2 linked regions of the Stegostoma tigrinum genome follow. The protein of the gene in region 1 interacts with the protein of each later gene in a pairwise test. Links are inferred from orthologs where the notes say so. Each region holds a gene or a part of one and is shown on either strand. Other genes may lie near its edges.

Evidence for each region.
Region 2: the proteins of dapp1 (region 1) and fxn interact in binary tests that used the Homo sapiens proteins (3 or more experiments, as listed by UniProt). The link is inferred for Stegostoma tigrinum from reciprocal best matches to the Homo sapiens genes DAPP1 and FXN.

The regions. Positions count from the first base shown.
Region 1 is NC_081354.1:4,225,486-4,237,152, forward strand, and holds the start of dapp1 (dual adapter for phosphotyrosine and 3-phosphotyrosine and 3-phosphoinositide), read right to left. Parts: upstream 5,383-11,667; 5' UTR 5,217-5,382; coding exon 5,143-5,216; intron 1-5,142. UniProt on the Homo sapiens protein: May act as a B-cell-associated adapter that regulates B-cell antigen receptor (BCR)-signaling downstream of PI3K.
Region 2 is NC_081356.1:27,895,219-27,906,885, reverse strand, and holds the start of fxn (frataxin, mitochondrial), read right to left. Parts: upstream 6,295-11,667; 5' UTR 6,181-6,294; coding exon 6,058-6,180; intron 1-6,057.

The sequences.
Region 1 (11,667 bases):
TCTTTATCCCAGCTCATCTCATCCTGTCAATATAGCCTTCTGTTCCTTCCTCCCTTGTGTTCATCTAGGTTTGACTCAAGTGCAACTGTAGACTTTGATGATTCAAGTGCTGTGAGTTCTACTTTCTGTGTAAAGACATATCTCCTGATGTTCCTATTGGATTTATTAGTCACTATCTTAAATGACGACCCTTAATTTTGAGCTTCCCACCAAGTGAAAATATCTTCTCTGTAACTAGCCTAATGACCCTTTGTGGAATCGTAAAGATCTCAATCAGGTCAATTCTTATAATTTTTTCTGTTTGAATTAATCTTACTTGGATCTTCCCAACTGTTAATTTTCTGAGCTCCCCATGCTAGGCGCAGATTAGGCCAGCACTGCTATTTCTGTGAATGAACTAAATAATGCAAAGCAGTTGGTTTGGTTTTTTCTGCCTTTATTACTCATCAGTGTTTATTATGTGTAAATTGGCTGTTAGCATGCTTCAAAAGCACCCAACTGTCTAAAACAGTTTGGGGATTTTCTGAAATAACAAAGTGTGGAGCTGGATGAACACAGCAGGCCAGGCAGCATCTCATCTGCAGCTCCCATTATCTTTGGGGATTTTCTGAAGTTGTGAAAGGTATCACTTAAGAGCAAGATCTTTCTTTCAGGTATTTCCCAACTTCTACTTCTTATAAAAACCTCTGGATATTCATCATACGTAGGTATTTTCCAAAAACCAAAAGTACTGGAGAAACTCAGCATGTCTGGCAACATCTGTGGAGAAGGAAACAGAGCTAATGATTCAAGTCCTGTGGCTCTCCTTCAAAACTTAACTACTGGACTCGAAATATTAACTCTGTTTCTCTCTCCACAGATGCTGCCAGACCTGCAGAGTTTCTCCAGGATTCTCCGTGTTCTTTCCGATTTCGAACATGCATAGTATTTTGCTTTTATTATTTTTATTTTATCACTTCCATTTCTTCCTTAAGCCTCTGTGAAGTTCTTCAGATTTTTCTGTTTAACAGTTCTATGCATATGTAAGTTGTCCTGATGTCATCAACCAAATTCACTCACTTATCAAAAAACCTAAATAACATGGGACTTTGGGATTTATGCCACTCAGAGCGCTCTGGGACTTCTCAAAACAAACAAGATCAGAAATTTCGGAGAAACCCGGCAGTCTGGCAGTGTGTGTGAAGGGAGAGACAGATTGGTACGGCTCAAAAATTACTGAAGGAGAGTCATACCAGACTCAAAATGTTAACTCTGTTTCTAACATTGCCAGACCTGCTGAGTTTCTCCAACACTGTGTTTACCAGCTTCCACAGTATTTAGCTTTTATTTGCAGGAATATTCAATTCCTTCCTGGATACTTTCAGGGATGTGGAACACTGTTTTCTGATTTTAAAAATGACTAGCATCACTCAAGCTCAGACATCCACAGGCACTTTAAAAGGAAATTACGTACCTTTGAAGACATCCCTGTTATAATGCAGGCAACACAGCTCACAATTTGTGCAAAACGAGCTCCCAGGCCGATAATAGAACAGTGACCAAGATAACGGCATATTTTAGTTATTGGCTGCGGGGTAAAACTGGTTACCAGGAGAATTACCCTGCTCTTCTTGGACCTTCTGTGCCCATTGTAGGGGGCAAACAAGGACTTGGTTCATCATATCATCGGCAAGCTGGCACTGTTGACAGTGCAGCACCCCCCGAACACTGCAGTGGGAGATGTCAACATTGTTACTGTGCTTGGATTTTTTTGGAGTCGGACTTGAAATCCCATTCCGAATCGGAAGCGACAGTGCTACCTATTGAGCCACATCACCCTTTCCAAGGCTGTGACTATGCTCCAGCCGCAGCTTCACACCAACTTCATTACAAACCAGGAGTTAATCTGATCTGTGTAGCACAATGAGAACCTGTCTCACTTCACTATGGGTTCAAACTGTACCTACATTGGATCAAAGCCAATCCATCAGGGATACAAGACTTCCCAGCACATGCCTGGAGAATTTTGGTGACCACATTTTCATCCTAAATCTTGAACTTCAGAAGATTGTGGATGCTGGAAATCGACAACTTGGAATGTCAACTGTTCCCTTCGCCACAAATGGTGACTGACCTGCTGAGTGTTTCCACCAATCTCTGTTCATTAACATGTTTAATTTCATGTCCTGATAAGTGAAATTGGTTTAATGAATAAGTACATTAAACATGTGGGTATCCTGTGATGTGACTGTCATCTGTGATTTGATTGAGACTCTACCAGAAGTTTGGAACAAGAGCAATTCTAGGCAGAAATGTCTGCTGCTAGATCACCAGTTTGTTAATAAATATTGTTGATGTCCGACCCAAACAAGTCTGAATACACTGTAAGACCATAAGAAGTAGGAACAGGATTTGGCCATTTGGTCCCTTGAGCCTGCTGTACCATTAATTGGATCGTGACTGATCCAACATTCCTCACACCTATTTTCCTGCCCTTTCCCTGTAGCTGATCAAGAATCTATTGATCTCAGCCTTAAATAGACACAACGACTCTGCCCCCACTGCTGTCTGTGGCAAGGAGTTCCAAAGACTCACAACCCTCTGAGAAAAGAAATTCCTCTTCATCTCAGTCTTAAATTGGTGCCCCTTTATTCTGAGACTGTGCCCTCTGGTCCTAGACTCTCCCATGACGTGAAACGTCATCTCAGCATTAACCCTGTCCAGCTCCTTAAGAATCTGATATATTACTAAAATGCTGTTTGATAAGATTTCTGTCAATTTCCCTTCATTGTGTCAGTCAGTACCTACACAGAGGTTCTTTTTACAAACACTGCTTTCTCATCATCGTTCCACTCATTCCTCCTGTGTTACTTTTGTTGAGTGACTTGCTGTCACCTTATCTTTTCTTTAACAATTCTAGCTGAAACCAAAACCATTGTTTGCCCCTCATTTTCCATTCTGGGAAAGGGCCCAGCCTACTTTCTCGCCTCATGCGCTCTCTCTTCAGATTGACAAACCGGCTGATTGTTTCGAGTAGTTCCTGTTTTCAGTTTCAAACAACTGGAGGGTTGGTAACTAATCCTTGTAATCATAAAACAAACAAGAGGTAGACACAGTGGAGAAAGAAAGTTTGACTAGAATGATACCAGAATGGAGAGGTTCTCCTTCCATGGGAGGGAGTATACAGGGCTGACTGCCTTTCCTATGAGGGGTGTGTTTCTGACTGAGATTATTAATAGGTTTGATAGGGTAAAGTTAGAGACCAAGTCTCACGTGGGTGACACCAGAACAAGGGACTATTGATGTTAGATTAGATTTATCAATGACAATCAGGAATTCAGGCAAAACTTCTTTGCCCCCAGAGACTGGGGAGAATGTGGAACTTGATACCACGTGTGGTGGTTGAGGTAAACAGCGCAGTTATTATTTAAGAGGAAGCTGGATAAACACACAAGGGAGAAAGGAACAGAAGAAGAAGATACAGGATGAGCGAAACAACAAAGAGTGAGAGCAGAGATAGTACGAACTGCAAATGCTGGAGAATCTGAGATAACAAACTGTGGAGCTGGATGAATACAGCAGGCCAAGCAGCATTTCTGAAGAAGGGTCTAGGCCTGAAACATCAGCCTTCCTGCTCCTCTGATGCTACTTGGCCTGCTGTGTTCATCCAGCACTATGCCTTGTTATCAAAGAGTGAGAGCAGACTTGTCTGAAGCATAAACACCAATATGTTGGGCCAAATGGCCTGTTACTCTGCTGTACATTCCACTTAATAATTTGGAATCAACCAGATACACATATGTGCAGTTTTAACAAATATTACCTCAAAACAAATTATTTTGGGACAGGATTTTGAATTAACTCAAGAGGTGACACTCTCAACTGATACAATTGAATGAGTGTGTTTTCCCAGTTACAGAGGAATCACAGAGGGTCCAGCATTTCAGCAGTTTAACATCTGCGCTGTTTTCAATGGCAAAATAAAATGAACATTTTGAAGGAGAATTGGAGATAATTATCTGTACAATATAGAACAAGAACTGGAATCCATCATCAAAACTTTACAGCGTTCTTCTAATGCAGTGGTAGTGCCCCTACCTCTGAGCCAGGAGAAACCAAAAGTACTGCGGGTGCTGTGAATCAGGAACAAAAACAGAAATTGCTGGAAAAACTCGGCAGGGCTGGCAGCATCTGTGAGGAAAAAAATCAGAGTTAACGTTTCTGGACCAGGGACCCTTCCTGAAAACTGGGTTAACTCTTGATTTTTCTTCACAGATGCTGCCGGACCTGCTGAGTTTTTTTTTCCTGAGCCAGGAGACCCAGGTTCAAGTCCTACCTGCTCCAAAAATGTGTCACAGTATCTCTAAACAGGTAGATCAGAAAATAGAACAGAGAGCCCCTGCAGCAATGGATGCTTGGCGCCTATCACTGAGGTGTCGCTGTTACTAAGGAGGAAGCAATTAATTCATCTCAAAACAGAAATTCACTGAAGAGGAGTCATCAACGCTGTTTCCCTCTTCACGCAGACCTGCGGAGTTTCTCCAGCATTCTCTGCCCTTCTTCCAGATTTCCAGCATCTGCAGCGTTTGGCTTTCATCCACAGGTTATGTCTAATCCCCGAGAGTTTGTTTTTCCCTTAATGAAATTGACAATAAACCATCGGCAATTTGAATTATTCAGTCATTGGGGCACCCCGACTCGGGAAGGGGACGGGGGCGGGGTGCCCGTGATTTATTTTGGGAACGATGAGAGATCTTGCGCTTTAAACACAGCATCGCAGGCCTGAAAGTGACACGTTGGTAGATTGACAGAAATGACAGTAGTTCACTCTTCGGGAATTCTAATCGGTGGAGAGTCCCCTGTACAGAGCATGATGCCACACAGAGGGGTGTCCCAAAGGTTAATGGATAGCAAACTGAACAGGAAAGCTGATTACAGCTGTCTATTACAGATGAATTCATCGTTACTTTACAGAAGAAAGAGAAACTTTCCCGATTTCTCAAAAAGTTGACCAGAACATCCTGAAACTGACACACCAGCAGAAATTTTCAAGGAGAAAAAATACACTTAATTACAACATAGAACGTATCCTCCGCCTCCAACAGACAACAGTAATATAAGAAACACACAGATTTGTAATGCAGAAGGAAGCTCCAGACTCACTCGAGTTCGGACAGTCCATCCTCCTGCTCCTCGGCCCAGTCTCTGGATAGCTGCACATTCAGGGAACTGTCCATCTCCTTCAGGGAGAGCTCTGTCCCATCAGTCAGTCCCCCTTTCTCTCTATCTCTCTCTGCCCGAGACCTCCACAACCAAGCAGTACGCTCCTCACACAAACCCTCGCTGACTCTCCAAACAGAACAAATTAACAGGAACTTTCAAGCTGCTCCTCCCACCCCACCTCCTCTGATTGCGTTCTGCTGCACCCTGGGACCTGTAGTGAGGAATGCAGCTGATGAGGAAGTGTAACAGAGAAGGAAAAGGAAGCGAGTCACGCCTACACGGACCCTCATCAGCAGCTGTCCTTTCTCCCAGGCTGACCATTACCCACTCCTTCAACCAACTCTCTGGGCTCCATCTCTACTTATCCATTTACTCCTATACACCCCTGTCTCCATCCCATCTTCAGCACCTTTCCCCGGCTACACTCAGTTCTGAGGAAGGGTCACAGCACCCGAAACGTTAACCCTGTTTCTCTGCACAGACCTGCCGAGCTTTTCCAGCAATTTCTGTTTTGTGTTTCCGATTTACGGCGTCAGGAGGTTTCTGCTTTCTGAAAATTCTCATCCCGGTTTTCAAACCCCACCGTCGTCTCGATTCTATCCCTGTCACCCGCTTCCAGCCCTTACACCCCCTCCCAGTCTCTGCGCCCCCCCCCAGCCCTTACACCCCCTCCCTGTCTCTGCGCCCCCCCCCAGCCCTTACACTCCCTCCCTGTCTCTGTCACCCCCCTCCAGCCCTGACAACCCCACACTGTTTCTGTCACCCCCTCCCTATCTCTGTCACGTCCTCCAGCCCCTGCACCCCCTCCCTAACTCTCTCCCCTCCTTCAGCCCCGACACCCCCTCCTGATCTCTGTCACCCCTCCAGTCCTTACACCCCCTCCCAATCTGTCACCCCTTCCCGTCCCTACATCTCTGCCTCTCTCTCTTACACCTCCTCCAGCCCCTACACCCCCTCCCCAACTCTGCCTCTCTCTCTTACACCCCCTCCCGCCCCTACACCCCCTCCCCAACTCTGCCTCTCTCTCTTACACCCCCTCCCGCCCCTACACCCCCTTCTGCCCCCTCCCCATCTCTGCCCCCTCCTCATCTCTGCCCCCTCCTCCAGCGCCTACACCCCTCCCTATCTCTGTAACCTCCTCCAGCCTGTACACCCCCTCCCTATCTCTGTCACCTCCTCCAGCCCCTACACCCCCTCCCTATCTCTGTCACCTCCTCCACCCCCGTCACCCCCTCCACCCCATCTCTGTCACCCCCTCCACCCCCTCCACCCCCTCCCTGTCACCCCCTCCCTATCTGTCACCCCCTCCCTATCTGTCACCCCCTCCAGCTTCTACACCCTCTCCCTATCTCTGTCACCTCCTCCAGCCCCTACACCCCCTCTCTATCTCTGTCACCTCCTCCAGCCTCTACACCCTCTCCTTATCTCTGTCACCTCCTCCAGCCCCTACACCCCCTCCCTATCGCTGTCACCTCCTCCAGCCCCTACACCCCCTCCCTATCTGTCACCCCCTCCCTATCTGTCACCCCCTCCCTATCTGTCACCCCCTCCAGCTTCTACACCCTCTCCCTAACTCTGTCACCTCCTCCAGCCCATACACCCCCTCTCTATCTCTGTCACCTCCTCCAGCCCCTGTGCCCCTCTCTGTCTCTGTCACCTCCTCCAGCCCCCACCCCCTCCTTATCTCTGTCACCTCCTCCAGCCTCTACACCCTCTCCTTATCTCTGTCACCTCCTCCAGCCCCTACACCCCCTCCCTATCGCTGTCACCTCCTCCAGCCCCTACACCCCCTCCCTATCTGTCACCCCCTCCCTATCTGTCACCCCCTCCAGCTTCTACACCCTCTCCCTAACTCTGTCACCTCCTCCAGCCCATACACCCCCTCTCTATCTCTGTCACCTCCTCCAGCCCCTGTGCCCCTCTCTGCCTCTGTCACCTCCTCCAGCCCCTACACCCCCTCCCTATCTCTGTCACCTCCTCCAGCCCCTACACCCCTCCTTATCTCTGTCACCTCCTCCAGCCCCCAGCCACTCCCTATCTCTGTCACCACCTCCAGCCCCTACATCCCCTCCCTATCTCTGTCCTCCCCCAGCCCCTACACTCCTCCCTGTCTCTGTCACCTCCTCCAGCCCCAACCCCCTCCTTATCTCTGTCACCTCCTCCAGCCTCTACACCCTCTCCTTATCTCTGTCACCTCCTCCAACCCCTACACCCCCTCCCTATCTCTGTAACCTCCGCCAGCCCTTGCACTCCCTCCTTATCTCTGTCACCTTCTCCAGCCACTACACCCCCTCTCTATCTCTGTCACCCCCTCCAGCCCCCTACACCCCCTCCCTATCTCTATCACCACCTCCAGCCCCCTACACCCCCTCCCTATCTCTGTCACCCCCTCCATCCCCTACACCTCCTCCCTATCTCTATCACCCCCTCCAGCCCCTACACCCCCTCCCTATCTCTATCACCCCCTCCAGCCCCTACACCCCCTCCATATCTCTATCACCCCCTCCAGCCCCTACACCTCCTCCAGCCCCTACACCCCTCCTTATCTCTGTCACCTCCTCCAGCCCCCAGCCACTCCCTATCTCTGTCACCACCTCCAGCCCCTACATCCCCTCCCTATCTCTGTCCTCCCCCAGCCCCTACACCCCTCCCTGTCTCTGTCACCTCCTCCAGCCCCCACCCCGTCCTTATCTCTGTCACCCCCTCCAGCCCCTACACCCCATCCCTATCTCTGTCACCCCCTCCAGCCCCTACACCCCCTCCCTATCTCTGTCACCTCATACAACCTTCCAGATCTCTGCGCTATCCCATTTTGACCTTGAGGATATCCAGTGCTGCGCAATTGGAGGCTATTGTTTCAGCTTCCAAGTCCAGACTCTGGGATTCCCTCCCTGAAGCTCACCTATTCTTTGCGTCGATCTCATTTTCACCTCAATCTTTGATTAAGCTGTAGGCTGCCTGATGGAATATTGCTGAAATATGTGGTCAGCGTCTACCCTTGCTTTACAACCTCCCTGTGCAGAAACTTGTGGTGTTTTATTATGTCGAGGGTCAATGTAAATATAAGTTGTTATTGTTTCAACATGTACAAATATTGTCGTGGTGTCACTTAAAGCTCCTGCTGCAAAAGCTCAAAGAGAAATTGTGCGTCCATTAAATGAATTGTTTGGTGTATTTGAATTTGTTTTTCAGGAGTTTTTTTTTATTATTTAAAACATTTTGGATGTGAGAAAGGCTATTTCATCTTGGTGGATTGAAGCAGGTGCGACAGATCCCACAGGAATATAAACATACAGGAGTAGCCATTCAGTCTGTCAATCTGATTTCAACATTCAAGAAAAGCATTACTGAATGGACTGTAACTTCAACTCCACATTCCCAGTAAGGCCCTGATAATATTGTGTAATCATCAGCAAACATCCCTATTTCTGACCTTATGGTGGAGGGAGAGTCATTGAAGAAGCAGCAGAAGATGGTTGGGCCTAGGACACCACCCTGAGGAACTCCTGCAGAGATGTCCTAGAGCTGAGATGACTGACCCCAACAACCACGACCATTTTCCCATCTGTCAGGTCTGACTCCAACCATCGCAGAGATTTCCCATAGACTCCAGTTTTGTTAGGACTCTTCAATACCATACTCGGTCAAATGTGGCCTTGACGTCAAGATCTGTTCTTCTCTCCTCACCTCTGGAATTCTGTTCTTTTGTCCATGTTTGAACAAAGGCTGGAATGAGGTCAGGAGCTGAGTGGCCCTGGTGGAACCCAAACTGGGCATCACTGAGCAGGTTATTGCTGAGCAGGTGCTGCTTGATATCACTGTTACTGACACCTTCCATTGAGAATAGACCAATGGGGCAGTAATTGGCCAGGTTCTTTGTGCGTACAGGATGTACCTGGGAAATCTTTCATATTGTTGGACAGATACCAATGTTATTGCTGGAACATCCTGGCTAGGGATGTGGCATGTTCTGCAGCTCACATCCTCTCAACTATGGATGGAATGTTATCAGGGCTCATAGCTTTTGCAGTTTTCAGTGCCTCAAGCCATCTCTTGATATCACGTGGAGTGAATTAAAATGGATGAAGACTGGCATCTATCATGCTGGGGATCTCTGGAAGAGAATGAGATGGATCATCCACTCGGCACTTCTGGCTGAAGATTGCTGCAAATACTTCAGCCTTATCTTTTGCACTGATGTGCTGGGCTCTTCCGTCATTAGGGATGGGGATATTTGTGGAACCTCCTCCTCCAGTGAGTTGTTTAATTGTCCACCATCATTCACAACTGGATGTGACAGGACTGCAGAGCTTAGATCTGATCCGTTGGTTGTGGAATCACTTCGCCCTGTCTAACACTCAAATTCTACCAACTGCTGAGGTCGGATTCAGACCCCTGTCCACAGTGCATTTCCACAGTCTCTGGATTACAAAATGACCCGATCATCATCTTCCCCATGATTAAACACTCTACTAGGGATTTGTCCACAATAAACTACTTTCTCCACTGCCCAATTATTATAGAATAGTAAATATTTTTAAAAGAAGGAAGTTGAAGAGGAAGTTTTTAATGTTGGACGGTTGACCAGTGAGCCCCACGGCGACATTGCATGTTCTGTATAATTGAAGTTGTCAATTCTAGCTGGTCATAGCCTTGGAGGTGATGGTTATTTTTTTCATGGTATGTGAGTGGTGCTGGCAAAAGGCCAGCACATGTTATCCATCCCTAGTTGCCCTCAGGGAGGTGGTGGTGAGCCTCTTTGAACTACTGCAGTCCATCTGGGGCAGGTATGCTCATATTAGCGATCACATGGACCCTTAATAACCCCCACCTCCCAGAACACCACACCCCTCCATTGGCATTTCAGGAGCACAAAAGCTGACATTTCAGGCCTAGACCCTACATCAGAAAAGGGGTATGGGGAGAGGGTTCTGAAATAAATTGGGAGAGGGGGGAGGCGGACCGAAGATGGATAGAGGAGAAAATAGGTGGAGAGGAGAGTATAGGTGGGGAGGTAGGGAGGGGATATGTCAGTCCGGGGAGGACGGACTGGTCAAGGAGGCGGGATGAGGTGGTAGGTAGGAAATGGGGGTGTGGCTTGAGGTGGGAGGAAGGGATGGGTGAGAGGAAGAACAGGTTAGGGAAGCGGAGACAGGCTGGGCTGGTTTTGGGATGCAGTGGGGGAAGGGAAGATTTTGAAGCTTGTGAAGTCCACATTGATGCCATTGGGCTGCAGGGTTCCCAAGCGGAATATGAGTTGCTGTTCCTGCAACCTTCGGGTGGCATCATTGTGGCAATGCAGGAGGCCCATGATGGACATGTCGTCTAAGGAATGGGAGGGGGAGTTAAAATGGTTCGTGATTGGGAGGTGCAGTTGTTTATTGCGAACCGAGCATAGGTGTTCTGCAAAACGGTCCCCAAGCCTCTGCTTGGTTTCCCCAATGTAGAGGAGGCCACACCAGGTACAACGGATACAGTATACCACATTGGCTGATGTGCAGGTGAACATCTGCTTATTATGGAAAGTCATCTTGGGGCCTGGGATGGGGGTGAGGGAGGAGGTGTGGGGGCAAGTGTAGCACTTCCTGCGGTTGCAGGGGAAGGTGCCGGGTGTGGTGGGGTTGGAGGGCAGTGTGGAGCGGACAAGGGAGTGACGGAGAGAGTGGTCTCTCTGGAAGGCAGGCAAGGGTGGGGATGGAAAAATGTCTTGGGTGGTGGGGTAGGATTGTAGATGGCGGAAGTGTCAGAGGATGATGTGTTGTATCCGGAGGTTGGTGAGGTGGTATGTGAGGACAAGGGGGATTCTCGTGGGGCGGTTATTGCGGGGGCAGGGTGTGAGTGATGTGTTGTGGGAAATGCGGGAGATACGGTCAAGGGCATTCTTGACCACTGCAGGGGGGGGGGGGGGGGGAGGTGGGGGGGGAGTTGTGGCCCTTGAAGAACGCGGCCAACTGAGATGTGCAGGAGTGGAATGCCTCATCCTGGGAGTAGATGTGGTGGAGGTGAAGGAATTGGGAATAGGGGATGGAGGAGGGTGGTTGGGAGGAGGTGTATTCTAGATAACTATGGGAGTCGGTGGGATTGAAATGGACATCAGTTTCTAGCTGGTTGCCTGAGATGGAGACTGAGAGGTCCAGGAAGGTGAGGGATGTGTCGGAGGTGGCCCAGGTGAACTTGAGGTTGGGGTGGAAGGTGTTGGTGAAGTGGATGAACTGTTCAAGCTCCTCTTGGGAGCAAGAGGCGGCGCCGATACCGTCATCAATGTAATGGAGGCAGAGGTGGGGTTTGGGGCCTGTGTAGGTGTGGAAGAGGGACTGTTCCACGTAACCTACAAAGAGGCAGGCATAGCTGGGGCCCATGAGGGTACCCTTGGCAACCTGCTTTGTCTGTAGGAAGTGGGAGGAATCGAAAGAGAAGTTGTTGAGGATGAGGACGAGTTCGGCTAGGTGGATGAGGGTGTTGGTG
Region 2 (11,667 bases), on another chromosome or scaffold:
GAGAGAATCTCATCATCTTCCATAGACATTAAATAACCTCATAATCGCTGAGCCTTCCATTAGCAACATCTGGGTGTTACTATTGGCCAGAAGCTACAGTGAGCTAGCCATATAGGTACTGTGGTGACAAGAGCGGGTCAGAGGCTGAGAATTCTAAGGTAACTCCATCCATGCAGCTCCAATGATACACGGAAACCTGGCATCAACCAGGACAAGATAATAAAATGTGAGGCTGGATGAACACAGCAGGCCAAGCAGCATCTCAGGAGCACAAAAGCTGACGTTTCGGGCCTAGACCCTTCATCAGAGAGGGTCTAGGCCCGAAACGTCAGCTTTTGTGCTCCTGAGATGCTGCTTGGCCTGCTGTGTTCATCCAGCCTCACATTTTATTATCTTGGAATTCTCCAGCATCTGCAGTTCCCATTATCTCATCAACCAGGACAAAGCAGCTTGAGTGATACGGTATCCATCAACTCCAACATTTAACTCTCTCCATTGCCAGCTTACAATGGCTGCAGAAAATACACAAAATACACTTCAGTAACTTTCCAAGCTTCCTTTTCACAGGACCTTTCAATCCTGTAACATGTATCATCTTGAAACATAAGTGTAATAGATGCATAGAATGCCATTGCCTGCAAGTTCCTCTCAAAGTCATACACCATCTTCACTTGGAACAATATTGCCATACGTTCTCCATCTCTGGGTCAAAATCCTGGAACTCACTGCTTAACAACATTCTGGATGTTTCAACATTAAATGGATCAGGGTATTTCAAGTGGTTGATCGCAAGAGAAATTAAGGTGGTTGACAAATGCTGTATTGCCAGCTGCAGCCACAAACCAAAAGTGAATAAAAAAGGTGCTATCCTTCGACCAAGATATTAAACAGTGTCAGAGATAATGGGAACTGCAGATGCTGGAGAATCCAAGATAATAAAATTTGAGGCTGGATGAACACAGCAGGCCAAGCAGCATCTCAGGAGCACAAAAGCTGATGTTTCGGGCCTAGACCCTTCATCAGAGAGGGGGATGGGGTGAGGGTTCTGGAATAAATAGAGAGAGAAGGTAAGGCTGACCTAAGATGGAGAGAAAAGAAGATAGGTGGAGAGAGTATAGGTGGAGAGGTAGGGAGGGGATTGGTCAGTCCAGGGAAGACGGACAGGTCAAGGAGGTGGGATGAGGTTAGTAGGTAGGAGATGAAGGTGCGGCTTGGGGTGGGAGGAAGGGATGGGTGAGAGGAAGAACCGGTTAGGGAGGCAGAGACAGGTTGGACTGGTTTTGGGATGCAGTGGGTGGGGGGGGGGAAGAGCTGGGCTGGTTGTGTGGTGCAGTGGGGGGAGGGGACGAACTGGGCTGGTTTAGGGATGCGGCGGGGGAAGGGGAGATTTTGAAACTGGTGAAGTCCACATTGATACCACTAGGCTGCAGAGCTCCCAGGCGGAATATGAGTTGCTGTTCCTGCAACCTTCGGGTGGCATCATTGTGGCACTGCAGGAGGCCCATGATGGACATGTCATCTAAAGAATGGGAGGGGGAGTGGAAATGGTTTGCGACTGGGAGGTGCAGTTGTTTGTTGAGAACTGAGCGGAGGTGTTCTGCAAAGCGGTCCCCAAGCCTCCGCTTGGTTTCCCAAATGTAGAGGAAGCCACGCTGGGTACAGTGGATGCAGTATACCACATTGGCAGATGTGCAGGTGAACCTCTGCTTAATGTGGAATGTCATCTTGGGGCCTGGGATAGGGGTGAGGGAGGAGGTGTGGGGGCAAGTGTAGCATTTCCTGCGGTTGTAGGGGAAGGTGCCGGGTGTGGTGGGGTTGGAGGGCAGTGTGGAGCGAACAAGGGAGTCACGGAGTGAGTGGTCTCTCCGGAAAGCAGACAGGGGTGGGGATGGAAAAATGTCTTGGGTGGTGGGGTCGGATTGTAGATGGCGGAAGTGTCGGAGGATGATGCATTGTATCCGGAGGTTGGTGGGGTGGTGTGTGAGAACGAGGGGGATCCTCTTTGGGCGGCTGTGGCGGGGGCGGGGTGTGAGGGATGCGTTGCGGGAAATATGGGAGACGCGGTCAAGGGCGTTCTCGATCACTGTGGGGGGAAAGTTGCGGTCCTTGAAGAACTTGGACATCTGGGATGTGCGGGAGTGGAATGTCTTATCTTGGGAGCAGATGTGGCGGAGGCGGAGGAATTGGGAATAGGGGATGAAATTTTTGCAGGAGGGTGGGTGGGAGGAGGTGTATTCTAGGTAGCTGTGGGAGTCGGTGGGCTTGAAATGGACATCAGTTACAAGCTGGTTGCCTGAGATGGAGACTGAGAGGTCCAGGAAGGTGAGGGATGTGCTGGAGATGGCCCAGGTGAACTGAAGGTTTGGATGGAAATTGTTGGTGAAGTGGATGAACCGTTGGAGCTCCTGTGGGGAGCAAGAGGCGGCGCCGATACAGTCATCAATGTACCGGAGGAAGAGGTGGGGTTTGGGGCCTGTGTAGGTGCGGAAGACTGACTGTTCCAAGTAACCTACAAAGAGGCAGGCATAGCTGGGGCCCATGCGGGTGCCCATGGCCACCCCCTTAGTCTGTAGGAAGTGGGAGGAGTCAAAAGAGTTGTTGAGGGTGAGGACGGGTTCGGCTAGGCGGGATGAGGGTGTCGGTGGAGGGGAACTGGTCGGGCCAGCGGGACAGGAAGAAGCGGAGGGCCTTGAGGCCATCTGCATGCGGAATGCAGGTGTATAGGGACTGGACGTCCATGGTGAAGATGAGGTGTTGGGGTCCAGGGAATTGGAAGTCCTGGAGGAGGTGGAGGGCATGGGTGGTGTACTGAACTCGTCCTCACCCTCAACAACTTCTCTTTTGACTCCTCCCACTTCCTACAGACTAAGGGGGTGGCCATGGGCACCCGCATGGGCCCCAGCTATGCCTGCCTCTTTGTAGATTACGTGGAACAGTCCCTCTTCCGCACCTACACAGGCCCCAAACCCCACCTCTTCCTCCGGTACATTGATGACTGTATCGGCGCCGCCTCTTGCTCCCCAGAGGAGCTCCAACAGTTCATCCACTTCACCAACACCTTCCACCCCAACCTTCAGTTCACCTGGGCCATCTCCAGCACATCCCTCACCTTCCTGGACCTCTCAGTCTCCATCTCAGGCAACCAGCTTGTGACTGATGTCCATTTCAAGCCCACCGACTCCCACAGCTACCTAGAATACACCTCCTCCCACCCACCCTCCTGCAAAAATTCCATCCCCTATTCCCAATTCCTCCGCCTCCACCGCATCTGCTCCCACGATAAGACATTCCACTCCCGCACATCCCAGATGTCCAAGTTCTTCAAGGACCGCAACTTTCCCCCCACAGTGATCGAGAACGCCCTTGACCGTGTCTCCCGTATTTCCCGCAACACATCCCTCACACCCCACCCCCGCCACAACCGCCCAAAGAGGATCCCCCTCGTTCTCACACACCACCCCATCAACCTCCGGATACAATGCATCATCCTCCGACACTTCCGCCATCTACAATCCGACCCCACCACCCAAGACATTTTTCCATCCCCACCCCTGTCTGTTTTCCGGAGAGACCACTCTTTCCGTGACTCCCTTGTTCGCCCACACTGCCCTCCAACCCCACCACACCCGGCACCTTCCCCTACAACCGCAGGAAATGCTACACTTGCCCCCACACCTCCTCCCTCACCCCTATCCCAGGCCCCAAGATGACATTCCACATTAAGCAGAGGTTCACCTGCACATCTGCCAATGTGGTATACTGCATCCACTGTACCCGGTGTGGCTTCCTCTACATTTGGGAAACCAAGCGGAGGCTTGGGGACCGCTTTGCAGAACACCTCCGCTCAGTTCGCAGCAAACAACTGCACCTCCCAGTCACAAACCATTTCCACTCCCCCTCCCATTCTTTAGATGACATGTCCATCATGGGCCTCCTGCAGTGCCACAATGATGCCACCCGAAGGTTGCAGGAACAGCAACTCATATTCCGCCTGGGAACCCTGCAGCCTAATGGTATCAATGTGGACTTCACCAGTTTCAAAATCTCCACTTCCCCCACCGCATCCCTAAACCAGCCCAGTTCGTCCCCTCCCCCCACTGCACCACACAACCAGCCCAGCTCTTTCCCCCCACCCACTGCATCCCAAAACCAGCCCAACCTGTCTCTGCCTCCCTAACCTGTTCTTCCTCTCACCCATCCCTTCCTCCCACCCCAAGCCACACCCCCATCTACGTACTAACCTCATCCCACCTCCTTGACCTGTCCGTCTTCCCCGGACTGACCTATCCCCTCCCTACCTATACGCTCTCCACCTATCTTCTTTTCTCTCCAGCTTTGGTCCGCCTCCCCCTCCCTCCCTATTTATTCCAGAACCCTCACCCCATCCACCTCTCTGATGAAGGGTCTTGGCCCGAAACATCAGCTTTTGTGCTCCTGAGATGCTGCTTGGCCTGCTGTGTTCATCCAGCCTCACATTTTATTATATTAAACTGTGACTTGTCTGCATCTTAGGTGAAAGATCATGGTCAGTCTATTGAAGGACATGAAAGTTATCATCAGCATTATGGTCAATATTCATCCTTCAATAAACATCACTAAAACAATTATTTGATCATCTATCTCATGGCTGCTCATGAGAATTTGCTCTGTGCATCTGTTTCCACGACCCTCAGCAAAGTGCTGCATTGGCTGTAAAACATTTATACACCACATTGGCATTACAGAATTTTTCATTAACACCTACATAGGCTGCTTAAAAACAAATGATACGGAATCCTAACTTATTTTTAAAAGAGTCATACAGCACATGGATTAGCCATTTGGCCCATGTAATGGGTTCTTTTTTTGCTTTCACTATTGAGGGGTGACCTCACAGAGATTTATGAAATCATGAGGGGGATGGATAGGGAAAATAAACAATGTCATTTTCCCGGGATGGGATAGCCAAAACCATTGGGCATAGGTTTAAGGTTAGAGTGGAAAGATTTAAAAGGGACCTAAGGGGCAACTTATTCACACAGAGGGTGATGCCTGCACGGAATGAGGTGCTGGAGGAAATGGTGAAGGCTAGTACAACTACAACATTTAAAAGCCATCTGGATGAGTACATGAATAGGAAGGATTTACAGGGATATTGGCTAAATGCTGATAAACGAGACTGGATTTATACCAGCTATCTGGTGGGCACGGACGAGTTGGTTCGAAGGGTCTGTTTCCGTGCATTATGACTGTACTTGTTTCGGTGGACTTATGATGCAGGACAATGTGTAGCCACGAGAACAATTTTCATCAATCAAGAGGCGGCCACGAGGAGACCTGCCAGAGGAGTCTCAAAACCTCGAAGAGCTTGATGAAAGTGGATAGGGGCAAAAAGGCTCCTGTTGGTGTAAGGATCCAGAATCAGAAGATAGAGATTAAAGCTAATCGACAAAAAGTACCGCAGGACGTTTTTCATGCGGCGAGTGTTTCGGATCTGGAATGCACCAGCATACGTTTTCAGAATCTCTATCTGCAGGTACAATGGAAGGTACAGGGAGGGCTATGTGAGACAACAAGGTGTAGAGCTGGATGAACCCAGCAGGCCAAGCAGCGTCAGAGGCGCAGGAAAACTGACGTTTCAGGCCTAGACCCTTCTTCAGAAAATGTGATTTGAATGTTGCCTTAGTAAACAGCTGGTCCAAGCACAACGGGCCGAACAGCCTCTCGCCGTATTATGTTACACAACAGAATTTGACACGAACTCATCGCCACAGATTCCAGCCCATGACGCCGGGCCTCAGGTCGTCAAGCCGTTCCACCGCGAGAGCCGCTATGTGAGCAGTAACCAATCGGCTTCGCTCAGGGAGGAGAGGGGCGGAACCTTAATTGAGGTCGCATGGACTAGCCTCCGAGGATGGAGACCACATGATCTCCGGAAAGACCAATAGCAACACAGCGCGAGAACTTGCGGGGGGGTGGGGGCGCGCGGAGGTCCCGGCCTCAAACTGACTTTAAATAAATGTCAGTAATGTGCTACACGCATACATCCAATTAAGGACCTTCACTGCTGTTACTCACCGCGGATAAAGTGTTGAGTGAGGGGATGGTTACGTGATGAATTTCGGGGACTGTCGTTGCTGTAAGGTGCCTTGTAAACCTGAGGATTGAGGGGCGTAAGCCCCGGTTTAGAAAACCCGCCATTTGCCACCGGGGGTGGCGTGTGAAGACCAACGATCACATCGGCCCTCGACTCACAGTCCCTTTTGTGAGGAGCCAGTAGCAAGGATTGTGCGTGCACGCAGGGCGATATGACACAATGGAGGCGGGCCTACGCCACCGTAAACTGAATGGGCGGGAATTGAATAGGGACGTGGTTGCATCACCAACACAGGGGGCGGGGCTTGGGTGGACATGGTCCGCCCCCAAAGAAATTCGAGGTCCAAACCTGGAAGTGTGGAGCCGGTCAGGTTGGGTAGGTGGACTGATTTCAGAAATTTTACCAGGCTAGGAAGGTAGAGAAAATCCGAGTGTTTCTCGTTCCCCCAGAATTCTGCTTTTAAGAAACTAATTCATGATTATGTACCGACAAAAACAGAAGCTGCTGGAAAAAGCTTTTATTTTTGGGTCTGACAAACGCCATCCGCAATTCTTTCGGGTTTTTATTTCGTACCGACAGATTGCATTTATGTGGCACCTTCCACAACATCTGGACATCCCAAAATCTCTCGCGATGTCCAAGGTCATTAATCTTGAGCAGATCGGAAGGGTGGATACTGGGAGGATTATGCTGTCTCTCTCCCACCCATTCTGTGGGAAACGAGAAATAACGTCTGTCCTTTCCAGAATAAAGTTTTGTTTTTACAATGATTTCTTTTCTACTTTTAGAAGGTTGTAAGTCTTTGTTCTCCTCGAAAAGGAAATTCCAGTAGAGGGTGGATTACTGACTATTTCAAGAGAGTGTTGAATAGATTCTTGATTGACAGGATAAGGAGGTTAAGATCACAGCTAGATCAGTCTTGAAAGGATGAATGACCCATTCCTACTTAGTTGGCTGTGATGGGAACGTAACAAACACAAGAAGCGTCGGCAAAAGACAGTGACTAGATCGACTTCTTGTAATGCTGTCTGAGGACACAAAGAAGACTTTTCTTCAAATCGTGCCCTCAAGATTTTTTTTTAAAAACAGAAAATAATATAAGGCAGATCCTAAACAGAGCAAGCATTTTTGTATCCTCTAGATAGCTCGCTTGACGTTAGAACTGACCTATAACCTCAGAACCCAGTTACCACGTTGTTATTTGAAGCATGTAAATAATTGAACGTCAGTACCAGATCACTCATTACACTTTAGGAAGGATTAAAGGAGGATGATTTAGTTGAAGATAGGCGACAGATATAAGGTTTATAATGAATTAGTGAAATTTTGATTTAAAATGTAGACAATGGATGCTTTCAGAAAGTAATCTGAACTCTTTAAATTAAACATTTGAATTTGTTGTCTATTACTTATCATGAACATTTCAGTGATACTGGTTGAGTGTCGTATAAATTTGCATGAATTGCAAACCAATTCAGAGTTTTCCTCAGTCACTCTTATAAATTATGACACTAAGTATCCCTGAAAGTCAGTTGAGCGAGTACTGCACTTGTCATATTTCCTAAAGAAGGATATAGAGATTGTGTTTAAAACAAAGACATGATCAATCTGCTTCTTTGAGATGGCCTATCAAGTGATGAAACAAGTAAGCAATCAAGCTTGTGACCAGGATAATTAAGTTTAGGGTGGTTAACCCTGCATCTGGAGGAGTGTGATAACAAATATTAAATTCAAGTCCTGAAGATCTGCAGTCCACCCAGGTTGTTATAGGGTGGGGATGTTCTGTTGAGTACAGTTCAGTACCAGGAATTCAGCACACATGCTGTTCCCCTTATTTCTGAGATATTATGCAATATCTTGTTTTAACAAAAGCACACATTGAAAGGAAATTCTGCAGGGATGCCCAGAACTGTTGCTGAACTAGTAATCCAGAAGCCCAGCTCTGTAACCCAAAGAACATGGATTCAGACCCCATCATCACACTCAAAAGTCTGAAATACAATTTAAAGAAATTTGAAAACAGTAGGCCAATACCAGTAGCAGTGAAGGTGAAACTCATTGGCATAAGGGCAACCTGTTTACTGGGATGGAAATCTGCCTGGTCTATAGGTGACTTCAGTTCTATATCACTGTGGTTGATACATAATGGGCTTCTGAAGCACTCTACAGGACATTGTAGTAACAGGATAACAAGGATAAATAATACACTTATAATACAAAAACAAGGCATTTGATTTCATTTCTGGAGAAATATAATCAAAAACCAGAGAAGCTTTGTTTGACTATTGTACAAACTGAATTAGACCCCATTTACAGAACTATAGACGCCTCCAGACTGCTGGTTAAAACAAGGAAATGGAGGCATTGGAAATTATGAACAGAAGTGGAAGTTACTAGAAAAGCTCAGGTCTGGCAACATCTGTGAAGAAAATAATCAGAGTTAACATTTCGGGTCCGATGACCCTTCCTCAGTCAAAGAATCTGTAGCAGTGTAGAGCTGCTACAGTAACCTATTCAACTGGCTCAAAAACAGCCGTGATTATAAAAAGTGAGAATCAAACTAATTGAGCAACAATAAGAAAAAAGCAATTGGGCAGTAATGACCGAATAGGATCTTTTTTGACCTTATTTTGTCAAGCCTTATTTTACATGAGCAAAGGTCAGAGGGCAGTCATCTAACAAGCCTCTAAACTCCAGTGTACTGGATTCTTCTTGGCACTGAGTACGGTATCGGCTCTCAGACATCATGACTCCACAGTGAACTGGACTAGCCAAATAAATAAGTTACATGAACACTCAGAGGCTAGGAATCTGCAGCAAGTTACTCACTTCTTACTGACATCTGCAGGCACATGTCAGAAGTCTGATGGAATACTCTTCACTTACCTGGATGAGTGCAGTTCCAATATCAACACCAAAGAAGCTCAGTATCACCCAGAATAAAACAAGCACTCATTCTCTCCATCACCAATGCTCAGTAGCAGTGAGGTTCCTTAAACAGCACCTTCCAAAAGAAAGGTCACCCCAGATACATGGAAACACCACCACCTGAGAGTTCTCTTTCCAATCTGCATACTATTCTGATACAAATTGCCACTTCTGAAGTGTTGCTGGGTCACAATTCCAGAATTCCCTCCCTAAAAACGTTGTGGGTCTACCTACATCAAAATGTTCTGCAGCAGTTTAGGATAGCAGCTCTTCAGTTATCCTTGAGAAGGTGATAGAGGTGGGCAAAAAATGCTGACCCTGCCAGTGAAGCCAGCATCCCCTGAAAATCAATTTTTAAAAAGTGGGCGAAAGGTAAGTGCCAAATTGACATATCAATAAGGTGTACGCCACAGGTTGAAAGTCAGCCAATAATTTTCTAGAATTATGTTCAACTTGCTTTTATTAATTCTTTGCTGGTCATTTCTTTCCAAGTGCTTTCTATTTGATTCAGAACTGATCAACAAAACCAAAATTCAGGATGCTGTAGTGCTGAACAATGTCCACTGGGGGATGCCAAACATTTCCCCTTTTCATATATTGTCTCATTATAGAGAAGTTACAGCAAGACATAATTTAAATAAACGTAAAGGCTCAATAATGTGTAACATTTAAATAATCTGAATGATTTTTTAAAAACGTGATTCTACTTCAGAATGGCAGCAAAACACAAGTCCTATACCACCTACATACATAATATGCAGCATAAATTTTAGCAGGCCATTCATGTGTTTATACTATACAATTTGGAAGATAGTTTTGTCAAATAATTCTGTACAATACTTCATTAAGTGGACATTAAGTTATAGGAAGCATTTCTCAAGCAAACTCCTTCACAATTTTAAAGATATTTACAGCGACTTTTAAGACCACCCCAAAAGACTTCATTAAAATAGACCTTTTGTCATTTTCTTTTAAAATAGATATTGAGATGAAGTACACACATTTCTGTAAACATTTTTCTGTTTCAACTGACAGGTAAGCAAAACTAGGGATTCTAGCGTAACTGTTAATGTAGTCAATGTGCAAACATTGCAATTCAATGTAAGTACAAAGTAGGCAATTTTATCCAGAGGCTGATTAAAAGACTGCTTCTTGGAAATTCAGCAAAATAGAAGAGTTAACAGTTACGCTTTAGGCATAAATGTTTTTGGCATCTGAGAAAAAAAACATTTTTTGTACCGCCAGACACTGAAATGTATGCAAACTATTGAAGTAACAAAATATAAATCTGGTAGAATTTCAGAACCAGTAGAAATGACAAACTCTCTTCAGTTGGCCAGGTGAGATCACAAAAACGGGGAATAAAACTGCATTCATATAGCAGCAATACAGACTTAATGCTTAGGTATGAAATGTTCCTTGTGAATCCTGTGCCATTAAATGTCTGTTCACGAAAGTCTATGGCATGTGCCGGAGGTCATGCAATCTTGTTCACCAAACAAGATTTCCATCTGAATTCTTCATGAGTCGGAGTTTATGAAGTATCCTTCTTTTCTAAGTAAAAGAATGGTCAGCTTGGATTTACATTATTCCTCTCCTGCCAGATGTTCAATTCATTCTTCATGTGGTTTACTAGATTAAAAAGAAGAAATTTTGTAAGGCAAAGTAGCTGCATTAAAGATTGTAATAAATCATTTTGGATCCCATTTTTGGAACACTCTTATCTCAAATACAGTGAGTGGTGTCTGAAGTGAACCTACAGCTAGCTGGAAAAGTCCAGCACAAATATGCTTCTCTTCCTACTATCAATGTAAAACACACTTTTTAAAAAATCTACTTGGCAGAAAACCACCAATGGAGGAATTTTAATGACTCTCTAACTAATATGCAGTTTGTACAGGTCAGAAGCTGCTTATGGTTCCGTTATTAGAAGGACCATTCAATATTAATATAAAAATATTCATTTACGATAAATTACTTAACGTAATTGAATACAAATACTACATAATGACAGTGTAGTTAGCTTTTGTTTAAGCTTCCAGGTTTGAATCACAGTCTGCATAGTGATCCATTTTCTTTACAATTTTTCTGAAGAGGCACTGGTTTCATGGTAAAGATCACAAGCTGAATAGATGAGATGTCTTGTTCTTCAATTCAATAAATGAGCTTCCTGATACAATATTGTTGAAATGCAGCAATTCTGGAAGGATCCAACTCTAATATAACAATTTCACTTATCCATTTCAAACTGTCAGCTTAAAATATCATTGTGTTGGCATTCAATGCATTCTGGAAGATGATGAACACTGTACAACAACAGTGACGAATATCAAGAACTTTTGCAGTCACTTCTAAATGTTGTTTGGCATGGGAGGATAGTTGTTGCTATCCTGAAAAAATCTCCTCCATCTCTGAACAGTGTGCAGTGTCGTGGACAGAGAGGGAGCTTTGCTGGTTGGGTCGTAAAATAATTACAGTACAGAAGAATGCCATTCTCTCCACTGAGTCACTGCTGGATCTCTTTCAAGCAAACCAGTCAATCATGTACTCCTGCTTTATACCTGTAGCTCTACGCATTTATTTCCTTCAAATGCCTGTAAGGTTTTGTTTTGAAGAATTCACTTTTGCTTTCATCATTCTTATGAAACAAAATTCTACAACAT